Nothobranchius furzeri: one gene and its partners. The protein of the gene in region 2 interacts with the protein of the main gene of each other region in a pairwise test. Links are inferred from orthologs where the notes say so. Each region holds a gene or a part of one and is shown on either strand. Other genes may lie near its edges. The genes, in order: ppic, banp, rab3ip and foxm1.

Region 1 (4,707 bases), on a different chromosome or scaffold from region 2:
CCTCCACTAATACTCATGTCGGCGTTAAAACTAATGAAGTTATTTGATGTGAAAAAATAAACTTTTTTTGTTCAGGTCACAGTATTTATGGAACCACGTTTGCAGATGAAAACTTCCAACTGAAACATCTCGGAGCCGGCTGGGTGAGTGTATGCTAACACACACTCAGGCATGTCCACGCTAGGGATGGGTACCTTTGACATTTGAATCGATTCAGTACTAATTCCCGGTACCTACGAATCGATATCGGTACTTAATGGTACCAATTTTCGATACTTTTGAGTGTTTATTATTTTAATTATTTTATAATTAAATGTATATTTTTCTCAATATACAACAATATTTGATAAATATCACGATAAATAACATACAACAGTTTGTATTTTAACATCGTCCTTGTAGTTTTATAAGCTGATAATTAAACTGAAGCAAACATCTTTACTGTGAACTAAATTTACTGTGTATCTTCATTCCTTTTGCTGTCTTTTTTCTTTGATTTTTCCTACTGGGAAGTTAGAATTTCCGAGGAGAAAGTGAACACACCATTAGCTGATAACAACGGTGGCAATGGAAGCTAACATATCAAGCTAACGCCATCTTTAACAGTTTATGTAGCTGCTGGAGCAGATTAAAACGATGATGCCTCACACTTAGATCGTTGTCGCTGGTTTCATCTTCACCCAATCACCCGTCGCATTTAGTAAAGTGAAGCCAAACTTTAGACCGCGTTCATGTTCTTCTAGTCAGAAATACGGAGTTCCGAGGAGAAAGCGAACGCACCATTAGCGAAACGGAAGCTAACATATCAAGCTAACGTTATCTTAAACATTTTATTTACCTACCGGAGCAGATTAAGATGAGGATGTCTCACTTAGATCGTTGACGCTGGTTTCATCATCACCCAGTTACCCATCACATTTAGTGAAGTGGACCCAAGCTTTAGCGTGCGTTCTTTCTACCATGCTGCTCTGTTTACAACTGGCTCGCAGCGACCGACGACATAACGCTCTTGTGCATGCGCAGCTGTCTAGACAAGTTCTCGTTATGAAGGACGGGTACCGAAACGAGGCACCGTTTCAAATGACGTGAATCGGTGCTCGATCGGTACTATGGAATTCGGTCGGTGCCTTAAAAAGTACCGAATTCGGTACCCATCCCTAGTCCACGCGCATGCACACACTCAGTCATGTCCACGCACATGCACACACTCAGGCACATGCACACACTCAGGCATGTCCACACACATGCACACATTCAGGTCACAAAGGTGTTTTTCATTCAAACATGCCTACAGGAAAGCCTTTTTGTTTTCTAACTGCAGATGGAATTGGGACTCGTTTCTGGAAACTGGGAAACCAAAACAAAATATTTTATTTTTCTGTTTGTGTCTAAAATGCCTTCTTAGTTTTTAAACCCAACTCCGGGCTCGGTACCGGCTCAAAAAGGAATCTTCCCATTTTAAAAGGAATTTGGATGTCACAGAACTACATGGCATGAAGTGAGTAATTGTGTGTGTGTGTACCAGGTGAGCATGGCCAACGCCGGTCCAGACACCAACGGGTCTCAGTTTTTCATCCTGGCCACCAAAGCGCCATGGCTAGATGGGAAGCATGTGGTCTTTGGGAAAATTCTGGATGGGATGGTGAGTGGAACCTCCAACGTTCTCCTAGAACAGAGAAATGTAATTGAGTAAGTGACCTCCAATTCACACTGGGTGCGTCTGCAGCGCGTTACAGAGATGCTGCGTCTCCACGGCTAATAGAAGCCGTTATAATCAATGGCAGGGGTACTCAACTCCGGCCCTTGTTGACCGCAAACCTTACTTTAGTCTGTTTTAGGTGATGAAAAGGCATTTGAGCTGCTGATCAGGTGACTCAACATTAAGTCAGGTGTGTTGGAGCAGAGAAACAACCCAAAGCTGCGGGACCGGGGCTGACCCCGGTTTCACACTGCAAGCATCAGCGGAACGGAGCAGCAGCGGGGCGGCTCACTCGCCAACTTCAAAGCGCTCCTTTTCACACCGGGAGAGTCTTGGCTGCGGCACGGCTGCCTTGCTGCACCTCGCTGTACCCGCGAGATTCTAAAATCCCTCGAGACTTCCGACACCTTCCTCATCGAGAGATCACAACCTCCGCGAGGAATCACACCGTTGCACTTCTCGAAAGAAACTGGTGGTAAACAAAGCCGTTCGGTCACACGTACTGACGTAAGTTGTATATTAGGGCTGGACGATATAGCAAAAAAGTATATCGATAAAAAATATTTTATATTGATCGATATCGATCATTATTGAAAAATATTTTAACAATTGTAGAAAATATTTTACGTGCACCCTGGCCACTTTATTTTTGGTATTTAGATTTTTTTTCTCCGCCTCTTCTCGCCGCTACATCTTTAGGGCTGCCACAAACGACTATTTTAGTAGTCGACCAATCGTGTCGTTTATAAAAGTTTAGCTTATTGCACCAGGAAGCCCTAATATACCAGCATTAGCTTCTAGTCTGAAGTGTGATCAGCTATGGGCCATCTAATAATAAAGACAAGATGATAGCTTATCAACTTAAATGAACTTGTAACCTGTTGATACAAACGCTACAACCACGTGGAGGTAGGCACCTAAAACTAGGGATGGGTACCTTTGACATTTGAATCGATCCGGTACTAATTCCCGGTACCTAGGAATCGATACCGGTACTTAACGGTACCAATTTTCGATACTTTTGAGTGTTTATTATTTTAATTCTCTTTTATAATTAAATATATATATTTTCTAAATATATAACCATTTTTGATAAATATCACGATAAATAACATACAACTGTTTGTATTTTAACATCGTCCTTGTAGTTTTATAAGCTGATAATTAAACTGAAGCAAACATCTTTACTGTGAACTAAATTTACTGTGTATCTTCATTCCTTTTGCCGTCCTTTTTCATTTGATTTTTCCTACTGGGAAGTTAGAATTTCCAAGGAGAAAGCGAACGCACCATTAGCTGATAACAACGGTGGCAATGGAAGCTAACATATCAAGCTAACGTTATCTTAAACAGTTTATTTAGCTGCTGGAGCAGATTAAAACGATGATGCCTCACACTTAGATCGTTGTCGCTGGTTTCATCTTCACCCAATCACCCGTCGCATTTAGTAAAGTGAAGCCAAACTTTAGAGCGCGTTCGTGTTCTTCCAGTCGGAAATTCGGAGTTCCGAGGAGAAAGCGAACGCACCATTAGCGAAACGGAAGCTAACATATCAAGCTAACGTTATCTTAAACATTTTATTTACCTACCGGAGCAGATTAAGATGAGGATGTCTCACTTAGATCGTTGTCGCTGGTTTCATCATCACCCAGTTACCTATCACATTTAGTGAAGTGGACCCAAGCTTTAGCGTGCGTTCTTTCTACCCTGCTGCTCTGTTTACAACTCGCTCGCAGCGACCGACGACATAACGCTCTTGCGCATGCGCAGCTGTCTAGGCAAGTTCTTATTATGAAGGACGGGTACCGAAACGAGGCACCGTTTGAAATGACGTGAATCGGTGCTCAGTCGGTACTATGGAATTCGGTCGTTACCTTAAAAAGTACAGAATTCGGAACCCATCCCTACCTAAAACCAAACATGACTTGTGTTCAGAGGCATGGTGGCGAGACTGAAGCGCTTCATCTTCCAATCTTCACTCAGGAGATAGCAGAACACACCAAGATATGCCTCTGTAGCACAGCTGGTCCACACGTCAGCAGTCAGGGACCATCGACAGCTCTGAGGGTCTGCTTTAGCGTAAAGATAAAAGATATTAAAGTTAGTTTAATTACCAGATTAATAATTCTGTTAAATCACATAAAGTAGGTTAAGATTTAACACAAAGAAAATGTTTTATGCTTTAAAAATATTAGTTTCTTGATTGTTCAGTCAGCAACCTTTTTATTTGATCATAAATGCTTTTTATTTTACTGTTTATTTTATTTGTATCCAGAGAGAAACTGACACACACACACACACACACACCTTAAAAGTTGTGTAACTCTTCTTTTCCATGATGGTGGTGAAGTGGGACCAGCCTGGTAGATGGTTGTTGTCATATACATGTCTGTAAACTCCACTGTAACGTAGCGGGATGAGATAAATCATTAGCGTTTGTAATCAGAGCAAAAATACGTGACATACAAACGAAAAAATGAAGTGGAGACTCCTTGGACGCTCTATTAGTGCAATTAATACCACAGCAAGTCATTTTGTCCAACAATTGCACAAAAAATATCCAAAACAGAATACACACACACAGAGACTCAAAATGACCGAGCAGTTTCCAGGCCAGACCGAGGCTCTACTGAGGCCTTTCCCCGGAGCTAGCTCTGTGGTCACGTGGGTCTGATGCTCATTAATTATACAGAATTTTAGGCTTTTAATACACTTAAACAGAAGAGTGAGAAAAACATTCACCCCCCTCAGAGTTGTCATGATTGTAAACTAGATCATTTAAACCAAAAACATGTTTTGGTACCAGGATGTAAACATGTTTATTTCTGCTGTGAAATTGGTATTTTTAACATGGGAGTCAATGAGGATTTGCTCGCTTCTGACACCAGCCCCTAGTGGATGAGGGTGGAACTGCAATTTTAGGTACTTCCGGGATGGCCTCAATTTTTGAGCCGCATTGTGGGGGCTTGTTTGCGACTCGACACTTTCTCCGATGATGAAGGCTGAGC
Region 2 (5,365 bases):
AAATGGTAATGCATGTAATGTGGCAATTTAAATAATTGCAAAATTATACACATTAATAATATAATTTGTTTGAAAAGGAGTAGGAAGTTTATTATCCCTTAATTAGATGAACACACACCTTCAGTATCTGCAATAACAATGCTAAAAAACATCTGAGCTTGAAAATCAAAATATAACATCGAAGGGAAGTGGCCATAACAAATCATTCCTAATTTTGTCAGTATTTGGTAGAAATTAGTCCTCTGTTTAGCATTGTTACTAACTGCCTCGATCACAACTGTGATCCCACATCACGTTGAAATCAGGGCTTCCAAAGTTCATTTCCATCCATCTGTTATCAAGTGAAAGTAGCAAACTGCCCCAGAGAGGCAGGAGACTCATGGGTGAATCTTGTACGGATATGATGAGAACAACAGTAAATTTTGCTAATAATTTAGTATACGACAGCTGGTATAGCAGAAGGTCTAATCGTGTGCATTGAGTCATGGATATTTTATTTAATTTCTACCCTCCTGTAATATTCCACTGGGTGCTGGTCCAAACATTTTAAAGGATTCTATTTTCACTTGTACCAGCCAGTAAAGATCTATAGACCTCGTGAATGTTGTTGTTTACATCTGGGCAAAATGCTGGAAGGCAAAATGAGCTTCTGCAGCTGCTATCCAGTCCTGTATCTCCACGATTTAAGTAAAAAAATTTAAACCTAGGGATGTAGGTATTACAATTTTTGATCGTCTAAGACGTCTTTGTGCAGATGATCGAAAAGTTAGATCTTGAAGCTGAGGGTGTTACAGGGATACTATGCAACTTTGAATATTTTAAAATCATTTTCCTGAGCCAGTATGTGCTAAAAGGACTGTTTACAAGCTTAATGTGTCCAGAATGTCACACTTGCAACTTCAGAGTTGCCGGGTTTTACGTGTACAGGTGAAACTTGAAAAATTAGATCATGATATAAAAGTTAATTTATTCCAGTAATTCAATTTAAAAGGTGAAACTAATATATGAAATGGACTCATTAACAGCAAAGTCACATATTTAAAGTCTTTATTATTGTGATGATTATGCCTTACAGCTTATTAAAACTAAATTCAAAATCTCAGACAAATTAGAATGTTTTGAAAAGGTTCAATAAGAATCAAAGTGTCACACTCTCAGCTAATGAATCCAAAACACCTACAAAGGATTCCTGACCCTTTAGATGGTCTCTTAGTGTGAGCTGAATAACCAACATAAATGGACTTTTACACCATATTCTAATTTTTCGAGATTCACCTGTACGTCTTCATTAAGATAAATTTATGGTTTGTGTGAACATTAATTTGACTTTTGAAAAAAACACTTGTCTTCCCTGGGGTGGCCAGCAATTTTTGTAGGGACTTGGCAGTGTGATGTCACATGTCAAGCGGTCTGTCAGTTTGATGAAAAAATATATTTGTTAAATTAAATAAATACTATTGAAAGTAGTTAAGTTGAAGAGTTTGAAACTGAAAAAGCAATTCGAGCCAGCCAGGAGTCGAACCTGGAATCTTCTGATCCAACATATCTATTGCGCCACTTGCCCGAAATATGAAATGCAGCCCAATTTTCTGATTAAAAACAGGATAAATACTAAAGTTTCTTATGTTTACATGTGCAGGGATACATTCTAATTATAGTATTTGATTTTCATTGCATAAAAAACCTTTCAAAACACATAACGGATCCTTTAAAAATATAACTAGACTTCGTTTTCAGCCTCTCAGTTGGTTTTGAGCGCCCTCTACAGGCAGCCATGATATACCCTGGCCAGATCCAGGAACAGAGGAGCGGAGCGGACGCAGCCTTTTCTCTCGCGAGGAACGACGCCGTTATCGGAATCCCCACAAACAACACGAGAATTCGTCATTCACACGGTAATATAACCCAATCTTACACGGTGCATGTTGTTGCGTGAGAGCAAAGGAAGAAGAGGCTTAATCAAAATGATCTTTATTTGCTGTATTCAACTCAACAAATCTTCGTCTGCTATCAAGCAGCCACAAGGCCTAACTAGCATGCTAACTACTAAGCTAGCTTAAATAGCGTCTCATTTCGCGCATCTAGCTTTATCGCTGGCAAGCAAGCTCACAAATCGGATGTTGTGTAGCTGCAGCTAACATTAGCCACCAGCTATCTAACAATTTTCAGCTTGCAAATCCAAATGCAAAGTTGAACAAAATGCAGGTGCAACAAAATTAGTTATGACACACAAAATTGTTGCAAAATAAGTGGTATTTCTGCTGCATGTAGAGCCTCCCGACCTCTAAATGGAAGCTAATGATTGCAGGTTGCAGTATAAACGTTGCAAGCAACTCTCGAAATAAGATTAGTCAGTTAAAAAATATATTAATGGGCAAGGATGTTAAACTGAGGAGATTGGCAATAACTAGCTCAACCATCAGCAAGACGTTTGCAGCTTGCAGGCCCAGCACTGCATCACAAAATCCCACTCAGTTTATTGTTTACATGATGTTCGAGTATGCCTGTTTTATGGATTAATTCTCTACAGAAACCATGAGATGTGTTCCTCTAAAATAAAAAATATGGAAGAGTAAAAGGAAGTACAAATTTATGCAGTTTATATAAAGGATTTATTGATACTTTGATACACGTTTCCACAGTTTTGCTCATGCAGCAGTTGCATGGAGGTCCTAGCTAAATATAGGAAATAAACACATAATTTTTTTTACAAATTATTCAAAATAGTAGACAGATTAAGAAATTGTAATATTTTTACCACTATTAATGAATTTGCTCAATTTTAGAAAGTGATATCTCAGAATAGAATATTATTATTATTGGTGCCCTATTGTGGAGATGTTCATAATCATTTAGAAAACTGGCCTTTAATAGAAATGACATGAAAAATTAACTTTAAAGGACAGATAGAATATACAAATCTCCAGAAAATTAAAAGATTAGCATTCCTTGAAGGATTCCATCATTCATGAGAGAATTTCATTTAAAGTCCTCTTTTTTAGAGGGGGCTGTTGGGAGTTGTATCTGTTTTGGTCCAGTATTGAAAATAACATTATGGGCAAGCTCAAGCAATATCACAAGATCTCCCACTATTTGTCACACCCTCCCTCACACACTCATATTTCTGCACCACCGCTGTCTTTTATGGCTAAAGGCTTTTTTTTTTTCATTTTGTCCTCAGATGGTTCTGCTGTTAATGTCACTAAAACTTATTTTTTCTGCTCTCAAACCAATCAACGGTACTGATAGCGTGAACAGCTTTGCCTTCAGGCGTGATACAAGTTTTTTGGTCACCCAGACTTTTATATGCAGTTATGTTAAAGTGGTACTTCAATGAAAAAACATTTAAAAATGATTATATCTGATTATAATCGGTCACTTTGAGTTTTTGATGCAGGCTGAACATGAAAATAGTCTTGTACACCTGTTTCCTGCAATAGCTTTTGATAGACAGTGAAATGCTAGGATTAAAAAATCCTGACAGATCTACATCATACTGTGACTTCACATTCTTGGACTCACCCATTTTGACTCACGATGGGGAAGGCTGTTGTCATTTTCCCATCCAGGAAAAAGCAGAGAATGTCTCGGCTTGTAGAAGCTAACTGTTAGTATTAGCAACTCCACCACATTGCAGAACTCCTCTATTCTTGTGTTATTTGCAGAGATAAAACATCAAGAATGTAAAGCAAATGGTAGAGTCTCTACCAGTGGTAGAGTCTCTTTGCTGTTAGCCAAACAGATGTCCAAATGTCAGGAAATAAGAGACCAAATCGTTCTGTGTTCAGCTCAACTTTGATCTGGCTAACTTCTAGTTTCTGAATTAGGCACACCGGAGCTTTGTTTCCCCAGAGTGCACCTTACAAGGCATTCGTTCCTACTTGAGACCACTGCAGATTATGTATTGTATGTGAGTAAAGTACCACTTTAAGAGCTTTAGTGTATTCCAATTTTTCAACGAAAAGTGAGCAAATGGTAATTCTACGGCAGCAGGCGTATCAAAACTTTGCATAGGTTATCAACTATACAGGAATGTGTTATATAATAAATATTCTCTTCTTTTCATGCCAGCTGTGAACAATGTCTGGGCAAGAGTTGGATGAAATTGTTCAAATAACAGTGGAAGATTTTGATCACAACAACCACTCTGGTAGGATTTCTTGTTATGTTACATTTTTACAGTGAATTAATCAATATTGACGTTTTTTACTTACCTTTTTTTTCATCAGATAGTTATATTCTTGAACGCAGCATTAGAAAACAACATTTTATCAGCCAAAATCAAATAAAAGTTGATTCTAAATTAGGTTTTGGGTCTGTTTTACTCTCTGCCGATTGTTTGCTGCACAGATTTATGCACCAGCCTTTTATATGGAATTGGGATTCAGCTCCAACTCGGATCTCCTGCTGATTACAGCATGAATAATACATGCCTGGACAGCAACTGAAATCAGCAAGAAGTGTGTTGGTGTGTCGGTTTGAGGGTGTCTCTATGTCTCGTTCATGCCAGACATGCTGGGCAATCACGAAGATGCTGAAGAAAGAACCCAGAAGAAGAAGAGAAAATTAAGCAACATCAACATCCAGGAGAACAATAACAGCAGCCAGGACTTAACTTTAATTAAGGTAGCAAGCCTGAAAGGATGGTGCTAAAAGTCCTTATGTGTGCACAAACATTCTTCTTTTTTATTCTCCTTTTCCAGAATCTTTTGGTGTCATTTAACGATTCGCTGTGCCAGCGACTGGAAGGAATTGAGTCCAAGCTACAGTCGTTAGACTCTACGTGTAAATCTCTCGCACGCAAACTAGACAGTATGACCTCTTGCAGCAAGAGTCCTGTCCAGGTTTCGATGGTCGCAGGGTCACCTCAGGGGGCCACTCAGACGTGGAACAAAGTCCGCTGGTAAGCTCTAAACGCCCAGTTTCCACGTCAACAAGATAAATGATGTTGTTATTAAATTTTAGCCATTTGTTACCAAATTGTTGTGATTTTCTCTTTTAGTGTTGTCCCACAAACAAATGTGATCGTGAGCCGAGAAAACCCGAAGATCTCCCCTCAGGAGGACACTCCGCTAGACAACATGCTCAGCAAGTACGTATCTCACTTTCATAGTTCAGCGTCGAACACAAGTCCATCCTAACGCCGTGTTTCGTCAATGATTCTGCCTCCTGTTTGGTTTCACTACCTACGTTAATCAGGTGTAACTGGGTTTTTGTCATTGTATTACAATGTTTACAGCACAGTGTCCAGGAGGCGTCAGAACACAATCCTGGTGAAGGTGCCGGGCCCTGAAGAGAGTCAGGAGGAGCAGGATAGTGGGTCAGAGGCCAGCGACTCTGTTTCTAACAGCGGTCAGTCAAGCAG
Region 3 (5,495 bases), on a different chromosome or scaffold from region 2:
TGTGTGTGGTTTCATTCAGGTAAATCTGGGAGGTGACAGAGTGACACAGTGGAAAATTATTCTGCTCAGTTTCTCTGGGATTGGTTCACAGGCAGTAGAATATTCCAGCCTTGTTTGGTCAAACCAGCAGAATTTATTTTCACATTATGAAAGTTTCTTGATCATATAAAGAAGAAACAGTGTGGTGTTCTTAACTTTTAAAACACTTATACAGGGAGTGCAGAATTATTAGGCAAGTTGTATTTTTGAGGAATAATTTTATTATTGAACAACAACCATGTTCTCAATGAACCCAAAAAACTCATTAATATCAAAGCTGAATGTTTTTGGAAGTAGTTTTTAGTTTGTTTTTAGTTTGAGCTATTTTAGGGGGATATCTGTGTGTGCAGGTGACTATTAATGTGCATAATTATTAGGCAACTTAACAAAAAACAAATATATACCCATTTCAATTATTTATTTTTACCAGTGAAACCAATAGAACATCTCCACATTCACAAATATACATTTCTGACATTCAAAAACAATACAAAAACAAATCAGCGACCAATATAGCCACCTTTCTTTGCAAGGACACTCAAAAGCCTGCAATCCATGGATTCTGTCAGTGTTTTGATCTGATCACCATCAACATTGCGTGCAGCAGCAACCACAGCCTCCCAGACACTGTTCAGAGAGGTGTACTGTTTTCCCTCCTTGTAAATCTCACATTTGATGATGGACCACAGGTTCTCAATGGGGTTCAGATCGGGTGAACAAGGAGGCCATGTCATTAGTTTTTCTTCTTTTATACCCTTTCTTGCCAGCCACGCTGTGGAGTACTTGGACGCGTGTGATGGAGCATTGTCCTGCATGAAAATCATGTTTTTCTTGAAGGATGCAGACTTCTTCCTGTACCACTGCTTGAAGAAGGTGTCTTCCAGAAACTGGCAGTAGGACTGGGAGTTGAGCTTGACTCCATCCTCAACCCGAAAAGGCCCCACAAGCTCATCTTTGATGATACCAGCCCAAACCAGTACTCCACCTCCACCTTGCTGGCGTCTGAGTGGGACTGGAGCTCTCTGCCCTTCACCAATCCAGCCACGGGCCCATCCATCTGGCCCATCAAGACTCACTCTCATTTCATCAGTCCATAAAACCTTAGAAAAATCAGTCTTGAGATATTTCTTGGCCCAGTCTTGACGTTTCAGCGTGTGTGTCTTGTTCAGTGGTGGTCGTCTTTCAGCCTTTCTTACCTTGGCCATGTCCCTGAGTATTGTGTTGCACACCTTGTGCTTTTGGGCACTCCAGTGATGTTGCAGCTCTGAAATATGGCCAAACTGGTGGCAAGTGGCATCTTGGCAGCTGCACGCTTGACTTTTCTCAGTTCATGGGCAGTTATTTTGCACCTTGGTTTGTCCACACACTTCTTGCGACCCTGTTAACTATTTTGAATGAAACGCTTGATTGTTCGATGATCACGCTTCAGAAGCTTTGCAATTGTAAGACTGCTGCAGCCCTCTGCAAGATATCTCACTATTTTTGACTTTTATGAGCCTGTCAAGTCCTTCTTTTGACCCATTTTGCCAAAGGAAAGGAAGTTGCCTAATAATTATGCACACCTGATATAGGGTGTTGATGTCATTAGACCACACCCCTTCTCATTACAGAGATGCACATCACCTAATATGCTTAACTGGTAGTAGGCTTTCGAGCCTATACAGCTTGGAGTCAGACAACATGCATGAAGAGGATGATGTGGACAAAATACTCATTTGTCTAATAATTCTGCACTCCCTGTATAATAAATAAAAGTATCATAAAATAGATAATGGATACATAACAATAGCATAACAATACATAAAACGCAAACACTTGTTTCAAACTAACATTAAGCTTTATGAAAAAATATTTTTAAGACGTTTTAATTTGAAACATCAAATTAATAAATTGCCCCCCCCCCCCCAAAAAGGAGATAATATGAGTTTGACATTTTAATTGGAAATTTGCATTTATTAGTTTGTGTTTAGCGCCCTCTACTGGGCAAATATAATACAACTCTGTAGTTTTTGGCGCCCTCTGCCACCTGCGTGCTGTTTAATTGGACTTCTGGAGGAAAATGTTGGGAAAACACCAATGTTTATGATTTACTTTGAAAAATAAATATATTTATATTAAAATTAAAGGCTTCACGTAAATGTATAAAAAATTGTGCAAAGAACGCTTATCCGTAGGACGTTTAATGTTTTCATGTGTGCTTTATTTTATGTTTTAATGTCATTATGGTAGTTGTTTCTGCAGACTGCTTTGAAGAGCTTTAAACGCTGGAGTGCAGTGCGAAGTCAAACCGGATTGGATTGCTGCCTTCATGTACAGTCGTGCAATTTCCCAGTGTTCCCTGAACGCGTCTCTCGTCAGGCTCTGCGTCAGCCAGTCGCTCCGGTGTGTTTGATTGTTTGTTTTTATTTGTTTGTTTGTTGGGCTCATTCGGCACGTCTCTGGGGCGCAGGTCCATCGGTACGGATGTCCACACGGTGAGTCCACCGCAGACGTTTCCCGTTAATCTGGTCGTTTTTTAGCCCGGTTGAGCGGACTAGTTTAGCCCGCTAGCTCCGATCATTTGTACTCATTATTGGATAATGTAGCTTTGTGTTTTTGCTTTCCACAAACAAAGTGGGTAAACACTCATGTTGTCAGTGTTTATGCATATTTTCTACAATCGTCTCGCGATGAGACGTTATTTCCGTGCATGTTTGATGCGTTTGGTGTCAGATAGCCGCGGCTAGCTTACCAATACCAGCTGTTAGCTTGTCTGCTAACACCTAGGATCACCTGAAACAGGTGAGTTTGTGCCTATAAAACACGCTCTGATTCCGCCACACGAGCTGCACTTTAACCCTGAGAACGGTGACATTACAGGTAGCTCCACTATTAACCATTTTAAGACCCAGAGAGGCTGTTTGTTGCAGATCGTTTTACGATAAAATGATCAAAATACTAAGAACCTAATGCAAGAATTTACTTATGTAATAGGAATAATGGTGTTTGTCAATTTTCCAGGAAACAAATCTCAACCTGGTTTCCAGTCACAACAACAGTAATTTATGGATTTGATTATTTTGCAAATTAGATATAAAACCAGCTGGTTGTTGGGTAGGGTTAAGGTTAGGGATAGGAGTTAATCTGAATTTATTTATTTATTGATTATTTTATGGGGTAATTTAATGTTAAGTCAGTTTATTTAAAACATATTAGATTAGATTTTCTATCATTTTCCTTTACATTAACATGTACATTTATATTATCTAAAATAGTTGCAATCAAACAAAAATAAGTTTTTGAAAGATAAGGACGCCGGCTGTGAGATAAAAGTGTAAAAGGTAACTCTGGGGACTGGATCGGTATGCAGACGTGTCTCATTCGCACACATTGGTGCTTTTTTCGCACTGTGAGTGCTCCAGCCATCTTCTTCTTTCAACTTTGATTGTTCACTGACTGCTGCGCTCCGATTAGTGAGCGCATGATGTGCAGAAGGGTTTGCTTTTGAAACAAAAATACATTTTCTATGCTGGAAGCTAAATTAAAATAACTATCAGCTGAGCAGTAAAACTCTGTGTCCTGGTAACTCAGTGGATCTGAAACCTCAAACCTGCTACTTTCCTCCCTGTAAAGCTGTTCGATGCAACAATTTCTGCTGAGTAACATAAAACTTACAACACAAAGTAAAACGAGTCGTACTCGGCCAACTTCTTCCTTTGGTTTGTGATCTGATGCAGATGCAGAATGTCCCTTTGGTTTTGAGTTCCTCGACATTATTTGTGTTTTGTTTTTAGCCATTCGAGGTTCAGCAGCTCATGCTTTGGATCTTTGCTGAACAGGAGCATCAATCGGCCTCCAGGGCCGCCGTCACGTCTGCCTATCTGATGCAGTGTCTCCCACCTGCCTCTGGGTGCCATGATGAGGAGATAATTGGTGTTTGAGCTCACCTGGAGGTCAGAATGTTCTGGCTGATCAGACTATGAAATATTAAAAACACAAACGGTAAAAGCAGCAAGGCTTTAAGTCCTGCTGAAGCAGATTAAAACGGAAACTCGTCCGCTGCAGGCGGAAGGCAGCAGGTGAATGTTCTGCTCCATCAGTGGAACCCTGGTGGAACCCAGCGTTCTTCCTGTGTGGAACAAAGACTTTGTGTTGTGTGAACGTGAGCTGTTTCCACGTCAGTTTGGGACGACAGAACCCATATGTAGTAACTCGGGTCGGCCAGAGGAACTGGATCTGTGATCAGCATCCATCATCGTGTCGGGTTACCACCAGCTCTCCAGGACTGGTTTCCATGGAGACCCGCTGTGGGAGATAGGTTGGCTTGATGCCGGTGGGTTTTCACCTGGCTTTGGTTCATCGTTTTAGGTTCTGAGCTACGAAATGAAACCGTTTGGCGTTGACGAGACCTGCATGTGTGTTTGTGTCACCATGGAAGGGATTCTGGGTTAAAGGTCATCGTTTCTAATTCATATCATAGAAGACGTACGCTTTTATTTACATTTTGTTTTCCGTTCTAAAGTCCCTCCTACTCAGATTAGGATTATGAGACTGGATTTTATTTGCTGAGTATGTAAACGGAGCCTTGGGCTGCAGAAAACGCCTGGTGGCACTGTTGCCTCGTAGCAAGAAGGTTGTAGGTTCAAACCCCGCCTGTGGCCTTTCTGGAGTTGGCATGTTCTCCTCATGCATGTGTGTGTTTTCTCCCACGGATAACACACACACACATCAGCTGGATTGACTGCACTATGATCTGCATCCTCTGAAATTCGCTCTGGATAAAAGTCTCTGCCAAATAAAAGAACATTAAGAAAAAACTGGGTGAGAAGAGAAGGAAGGTCCAGCTCAGTAGAACTGGAACGATCAACAAAACAACAATTCAACCTCCTTCTGGGTTGTTTTCTAGACTTGAGACACGCGTTTCTGTCCCTCCTGTCCTCATGAGTCTGATTTAGATTCTTGGGTCCATCTGAAGAATCCGTCAGTTTGAAAACATTCATCTAAACCTGCGGTTTATAAAAAAAAAACGTGTATTTTGTTTGACTTGATGTTGGGGAGCAGGCAACGAGGCTCCGACAGCCTGATGCTCTTCAGCTGTAAGCGGGTGTGAATGTGCTGAGTGGGCAGAAGGTGAGCTGGTGTTTACACGCACAGATGGATCTGGATTGATCCAAATATTCGTTCCACAGACGAGTGAAAAACGCAGCCGTCAGGAAGCACTTAAAGACTCCATTAATCAAGTAACGCAGCAGCAGCCTGAGAGACGAAACGCAGGGCAGAGACACCGCACCCAGCTTCCTTCCCGCTGGTTTTCTAAGCTACAATAAAAGTTTATTATGAAAAGTTTGGGTTAAACTGTGATGACCAGGATGTGGTTCCTCTTCAGGGTTTAGCCATGACTCGGCACCTTTAACGGGCCGGGTCTGCTGGACGGCCACATTAGTGATGCTAACAGAAGCCATGAGAGCTGTGGTCCG
Region 4 (4,608 bases), on a different chromosome or scaffold from region 2:
ATTGTAGTGTTTTTTATGTAGGTGAATGCAAGCCTTCCCTTCCATTGCTTCGTGCTAAAACAACTGGTTACAAAATGTTTTTTCTGACTTGGCTAACTCTGGGGAATCTAACAACACACACGAGTTTAGGGACGGAAGATCCCTATAAGAATATTAAAATAATAAAAATGCAGCAATAAATAAAACGTAATACTTGTGCTTTGTAACAAAGTAACACTCTGTGGAAGTTAACTTGGTGAACTTATTCACCCTGGACAGGAAATAGTTGCACATAAGAAACAAATAAGAATAAATTAAAAAAAAAGTTCCAAAACAATCATTTGTGTTCAAAGGAGTGGAGCCAGTCTAGGGATGGGTACCTTTGACATTTGAATCGATCCGGTACTAATTCCCGGTACCTAGGAATCGATACCGGTGCTTAACGGTACCAATTTTAGATACTTTTGAGTGTTTAATATTTTAATTCTTTTTTATAATTAAATATATATTTTTCTCAATATATAACCATATTTGATAAATATCACAATAAATAACATACAACTGTTTGTATTTTAACATCGTCCTTGTAGTTTTATAAGCTGATAATTAAACTGAAGCAAACATCTTTACTGTGAACTAAATTTACTGTGTATCTTCATTCCTTTTGCCGTCCTTTTTCATTTGATTTTTCCTACTTGGAAGTTAGAATTTCCGAGGAGTAAGCGAACGCACCGTTAGCTGATAACAATGGTGGCAACGGAAGCTAACATATCAAGCTAACGTTATCTTAAACAGTTTATTTAGCTGCTGGAGCAGATTAAAACGATGATGCCTCACACTTAGATCGCTGTCGCTGGTTTCATCTTCACCCAATCACCCGTCGCATTTAGTAAAGTGAAGCCAAACTTTAGAGCGCGTTCATGTTCTTCTAGTCGGAAATTCGGAGTTCCGAGGAGAAAGCGGACACACCATTAGCAGAACGGAAGCTAACAAATCAAGCAAACGTTATCTTAAACATTTTATTTACCTACCGGAGCAGATTAAGATGAGGATGTCTCACTTAGATCGTTGTCGCTGGTTTCATCTTCACCCAATCACCCGTCACATTTAGTAAAGTGAAGCCAAACTTTAGAGCGCATTCTAGTCAGAAATTCGGAGTTCCGAGGAGAAAGCGAACGCACCATTAGCGAAACGGAAGCTAACATATCAAGCTAACGTTGTCTTAAACATTTTGTTTACCTACCGGAGCAGATTAAGATGAGGATGTCTCACTTAGATCGTTGTCGCTGGTTTCATCATCACCCAGTTACCCATCACATTTAGTGAAGTGGAGCCAAGCTTTAGCGTACGTTCTTTCTACCATGCTGCTCTGTTTACAACTCGCTCGCAGCGACCGACATAGCGCTCTTGCGCATGCGCAGCTGTCTAGGCAAGTTCTCGTTATGAAGGACGGGTACCGAAACGAGGCACCGTTTCACATGACGTGAATCTGTGCTCAGTCTGTACTATGGAATTCGGTCGGTACCTTAAAAAGTACAGAATTCGGTACCCATCGCTAGGAGCCACACAACATGAGTTCATAAAGCTGGTGCAATCTGCTGGATAGGTAGCGCAATATCGGTCATCTTTTTGGCCAATAACCGATACGGTTAATGACTCCAATATCGGCCGATATATCGGTCGGGCCCTAGTTTTCATGTATTTATTTGAGGTAAGAAAATGCAGGTGAACCTGGAGCTGTGAGGTCATCTTATTGCAGGAGGTGATCTGAGAACCAGAGAGGCTGAAGAGGCTTTCCCTTGTCTAACGCTGGTTTATACCCACTCACAAATACAGCTATTTTTTTTATCCATAAAAGGAGTCAGTTGGAAAGGGTACCGTCTTTGTCAGCATTGTTAATAAAGTTGTATTCATTTGACTATTTTAAAGTGATGGTGCATCTTTTCGTTTTCCTTTCCATGTCAACAAAAGAGAACGGCTGCTGTTGGCAGAAAAATACCAGCCTCTTCTGGTGAGTTAAGGACTAGGCTGGAGCCTCAGAGTTCCCAAATCCACTTCTAGTTTCCAGAAATGACTCAGACTCATCCTCAGAGCCCTACTTGTGCTGCTGGTTCATGTTCCGTGTCTCCTTGTGCTCAGAGAGAAGGATGAAACCGCTTCTCCCTCGAACCGAATCCTACTTGGTTCCGATCCAGCTCCCTGTGGCCTCTCCGTTGTATCTGTCAACCCCGTCTGCCTCCTTTAGCTACGCTTGCCCCAAGCAGAAGCAGACCTTTTCTCGAGGGGCAAAGAGAGTCCGCATAGCTCCTAAGGTAAACCGCTTTTTAGGCACAACTTGTTGTAATTTTCGATGCCAAAGGAATCTAACATATTATTTTCCATGAAAAGGTGACACAAAGCAGCATCTCGGTTGTGGCTGAATCTCCTCCCAAGATCACTAACCTGAAGCTGGAGATAAAGGAGGAGCCAGTTGATGTTCCAATAAGATGTGAGACTCCCATTCGTCCTCCGAAGAGACAAGCCAGCAGCTCTCGACGCAAACAGAGCCTGGCTAACTCGCTGCACGAGGAGCCTGTTCTCCTCTGTCCTGATAGTGACTTCTTCGACTCTGGTGTAGCTTCTGATGTGTCGACGTTCCAGGACGTTCTGGATGTCGGGCCGAATGAGCAGCGGCACAGACAAGACAGTCCTGACCGGGGGTTCTCCTTCAAGACTCCGATAAAGAGCATCACCCACCTGACCTCTTCCACCCCCAGCAAACGCTCTTCTGCTGGACTCGAGCCATGGCTCGTGACCCCTGTGGGCAAAGGGAGCCAAAACATTCTGGACTTCAGTCCTATTCGCACTCCAAGCGGTCCTGTAGCCACGCCCCGGCACGAATACACCACCTTCAGTCTGAACAGCACTCCCTTTAAAGACCTGGCTCTGTTCAGCTCCCCCCGGGAGTTGCTCACCACGGCTCCCTGCAGAGTCACCAGATCAACGGAGTCGCCGATCGGACACCCGCAAAGCAGCTGCTCCAGGGAGCTCCTGCAAGCCGGCAGCGCCACGCCCACTAACCGCTCGCTCACGGAGGGCCTCGTGCTGGACCTCATGAACGACAGCCTGAGCAAGATTCTGGTGGACATCAGCTTCACGGGTCTGGACGAGGAACTGGGCATCGCTAATATCAGCTGGTCCGAGTTCATCGGGCAGGTTTAGATCACTGGAAAGATAAACTGCAGAATTTGGAGAAAACACTACAAACCACACACACACACTCTTTATTGCTTTAATGAAACTTTATTGACAAACCGCAGGTTGATTTTTAAATATTAACGCATCTTTATGAATATATGTTACAAGAAGAGAGCCGTCGTCTCTCTGGAACAAAACGAGCTCCTTTTTGCTTTGCTTGAGCTGATTTTTGCTGCCGTTTCTGGTGAAGTTTGAGATAAACGACAGCGAGGCTTGCTCACTCGTGCTTGGCTGTTTCTCTGCTAGTTTGGGTTTGTTTGTTTTGCTCATTTAAATCACTTATTGGATTATTAACGTCCGAACATTTTAATCCACAACTGTCGTTGAAAGAAGATGAATATTTAAGTGTATAAATAAGTTGATTTGCACATTCTAATATATGATTTACAGCACTTCCATCTGCAAGTGGGAAAGAGTTTCTGAATATTTTAGAAAGATCTTTCTGTGCCTCGTGGTTCAAACAGCGTTTGGAACCGCATTAGACTGTAGGAGTAAGAAAGTATTACTATTATTAGCACTAACAGCAATAGGATTGTCTCTGTTTACTTTAGAAATGTACGTTGTTGTTTTAATTCTCACTGACTGGAATGTTTTTGCCATCTTCCAGATCTGATCAGAAAGGAGGATTTGTGTCTTCACATTTAACATCAAAAGGGACTAAAGAATATTTTATTTGTATTCTCTGAGAAAGCTTGATGGCTTTTATTCTTGTCTTGAAGCAGAATCAGCAAAATAGAGGAAAACATCTGTGTTGGTGCGTGGAAGATAGCATGGAAGTTTCTTTAGAGACCAAGTTTGTTGGCACAAACTATTGTGACTTCATTTTTTATGCTACATGTGAGTGAAAATGTGTAGTTTCGCTTTCTAGAGCTGCAGGTGATTACTTCCTTTCATCGGTGGAATTAATGAAGTGAGGTGTAACGTTTCTGGAAAACTCAGTCTGAATACACATTTCTACTCTTGTGTAAATAAAAGTCGACAAGAAGCACGAACAGTCTGGCTCAGAAAAGTCTTTATTGTAGAAGGATGTAAAATTAGGACTTTGTGTGGCTTTGAAGCTTAAAAATACATTTTATTTACAAAAGTGGCAAAACACGAACAGGTGAGAATCTTCCGTGTTAAAAGTTTTTCTCTGTAAAGGATCCTAAATGTTTGGCAGGAACGGAATACTTCCAACTATTTGAAACTTAAAGAGCAAGTCGCCCCCAAGCAACTCTATTTTTTTCTGATAAACTATAAAAATGCGTGTCTAATCGTGCTGCAGACACGTGTGGTTACTAGTTTGGCACTTTAGTGCATTTTAGTTAAAATTTAAATTGCCTAAAGCTCAGTGTCCTGCCGTTGTCAGGTTAAAAACTGCATTGCATTTGAATTTAAATCTGCCATCGCTAT

Evidence for each region.
Region 1: the proteins of banp (region 2) and ppic interact in binary tests that used the Homo sapiens proteins (3 or more experiments, as listed by UniProt). The two-hybrid records come from large-scale screens. The link is inferred for Nothobranchius furzeri from reciprocal best matches to the Homo sapiens genes BANP and PPIC.
Region 3: the proteins of banp (region 2) and rab3ip interact in binary tests that used the Homo sapiens proteins (3 or more experiments, as listed by UniProt). The two-hybrid records come from large-scale screens. The link is inferred for Nothobranchius furzeri from reciprocal best matches to the Homo sapiens genes BANP and RAB3IP.
Region 4: the proteins of banp (region 2) and foxm1 interact in binary tests that used the Homo sapiens proteins (3 or more experiments, as listed by UniProt). The link is inferred for Nothobranchius furzeri from reciprocal best matches to the Homo sapiens genes BANP and FOXM1.

The regions. Positions count from the first base shown.
Region 1 is NC_091750.1:37,263,082-37,267,788, reverse strand, and holds part of ppic (peptidyl-prolyl cis-trans isomerase C), read left to right. Parts: intron 1-75; coding exon 76-143; intron 144-1,522; exon of another isoform or gene 1,523-1,525; coding exon 1,526-1,642; exon of another isoform or gene 1,643-1,662; intron 1,663-3,633; exon of another isoform or gene 3,634-3,771; intron 3,772-4,006; exon of another isoform or gene 4,007-4,100; intron 4,101-4,707. UniProt on the Homo sapiens protein: PPIase that catalyzes the cis-trans isomerization of proline imidic peptide bonds in oligopeptides and may therefore assist protein folding.
Region 2 is NC_091744.1:74,163,090-74,168,454, reverse strand, and holds the start of banp (protein BANP), read left to right. Parts: upstream 1-1,781; 5' UTR 1,782-1,895; intron 1,896-3,827; exon of another isoform or gene 3,828-3,910; intron 3,911-4,071; 5' UTR 4,072-4,080; coding exon 4,081-4,150; intron 4,151-4,510; coding exon 4,511-4,626; intron 4,627-4,703; coding exon 4,704-4,903; intron 4,904-5,002; coding exon 5,003-5,092; intron 5,093-5,239; coding exon 5,240-5,365. UniProt on the Homo sapiens protein: Controls V(D)J recombination during T-cell development by repressing T-cell receptor (TCR) beta enhancer function. Binds to scaffold/matrix attachment region beta (S/MARbeta), an ATC-rich DNA sequence located upstream of the TCR beta enhancer.
Region 3 is NC_091741.1:38,159,919-38,165,413, forward strand, and holds the start of rab3ip (rab-3A-interacting protein), read left to right. Parts: upstream 1-2,378; 5' UTR 2,379-2,513; intron 2,514-5,495. UniProt on the Homo sapiens protein: Guanine nucleotide exchange factor (GEF) which may activate RAB8A and RAB8B. Promotes the exchange of GDP to GTP, converting inactive GDP-bound Rab proteins into their active GTP-bound form.
Region 4 is NC_091741.1:41,398,101-41,402,708, reverse strand, and holds the end of foxm1 (forkhead box protein M1), read left to right. Parts: intron 1-1,950; coding exon 1,951-1,990; intron 1,991-2,118; coding exon 2,119-2,291; intron 2,292-2,367; coding exon 2,368-3,180; 3' UTR 3,181-3,330; downstream 3,331-4,608. UniProt on the Homo sapiens protein: Transcription factor regulating the expression of cell cycle genes essential for DNA replication and mitosis. Plays a role in the control of cell proliferation. Also plays a role in DNA break repair, participating in the DNA damage checkpoint response.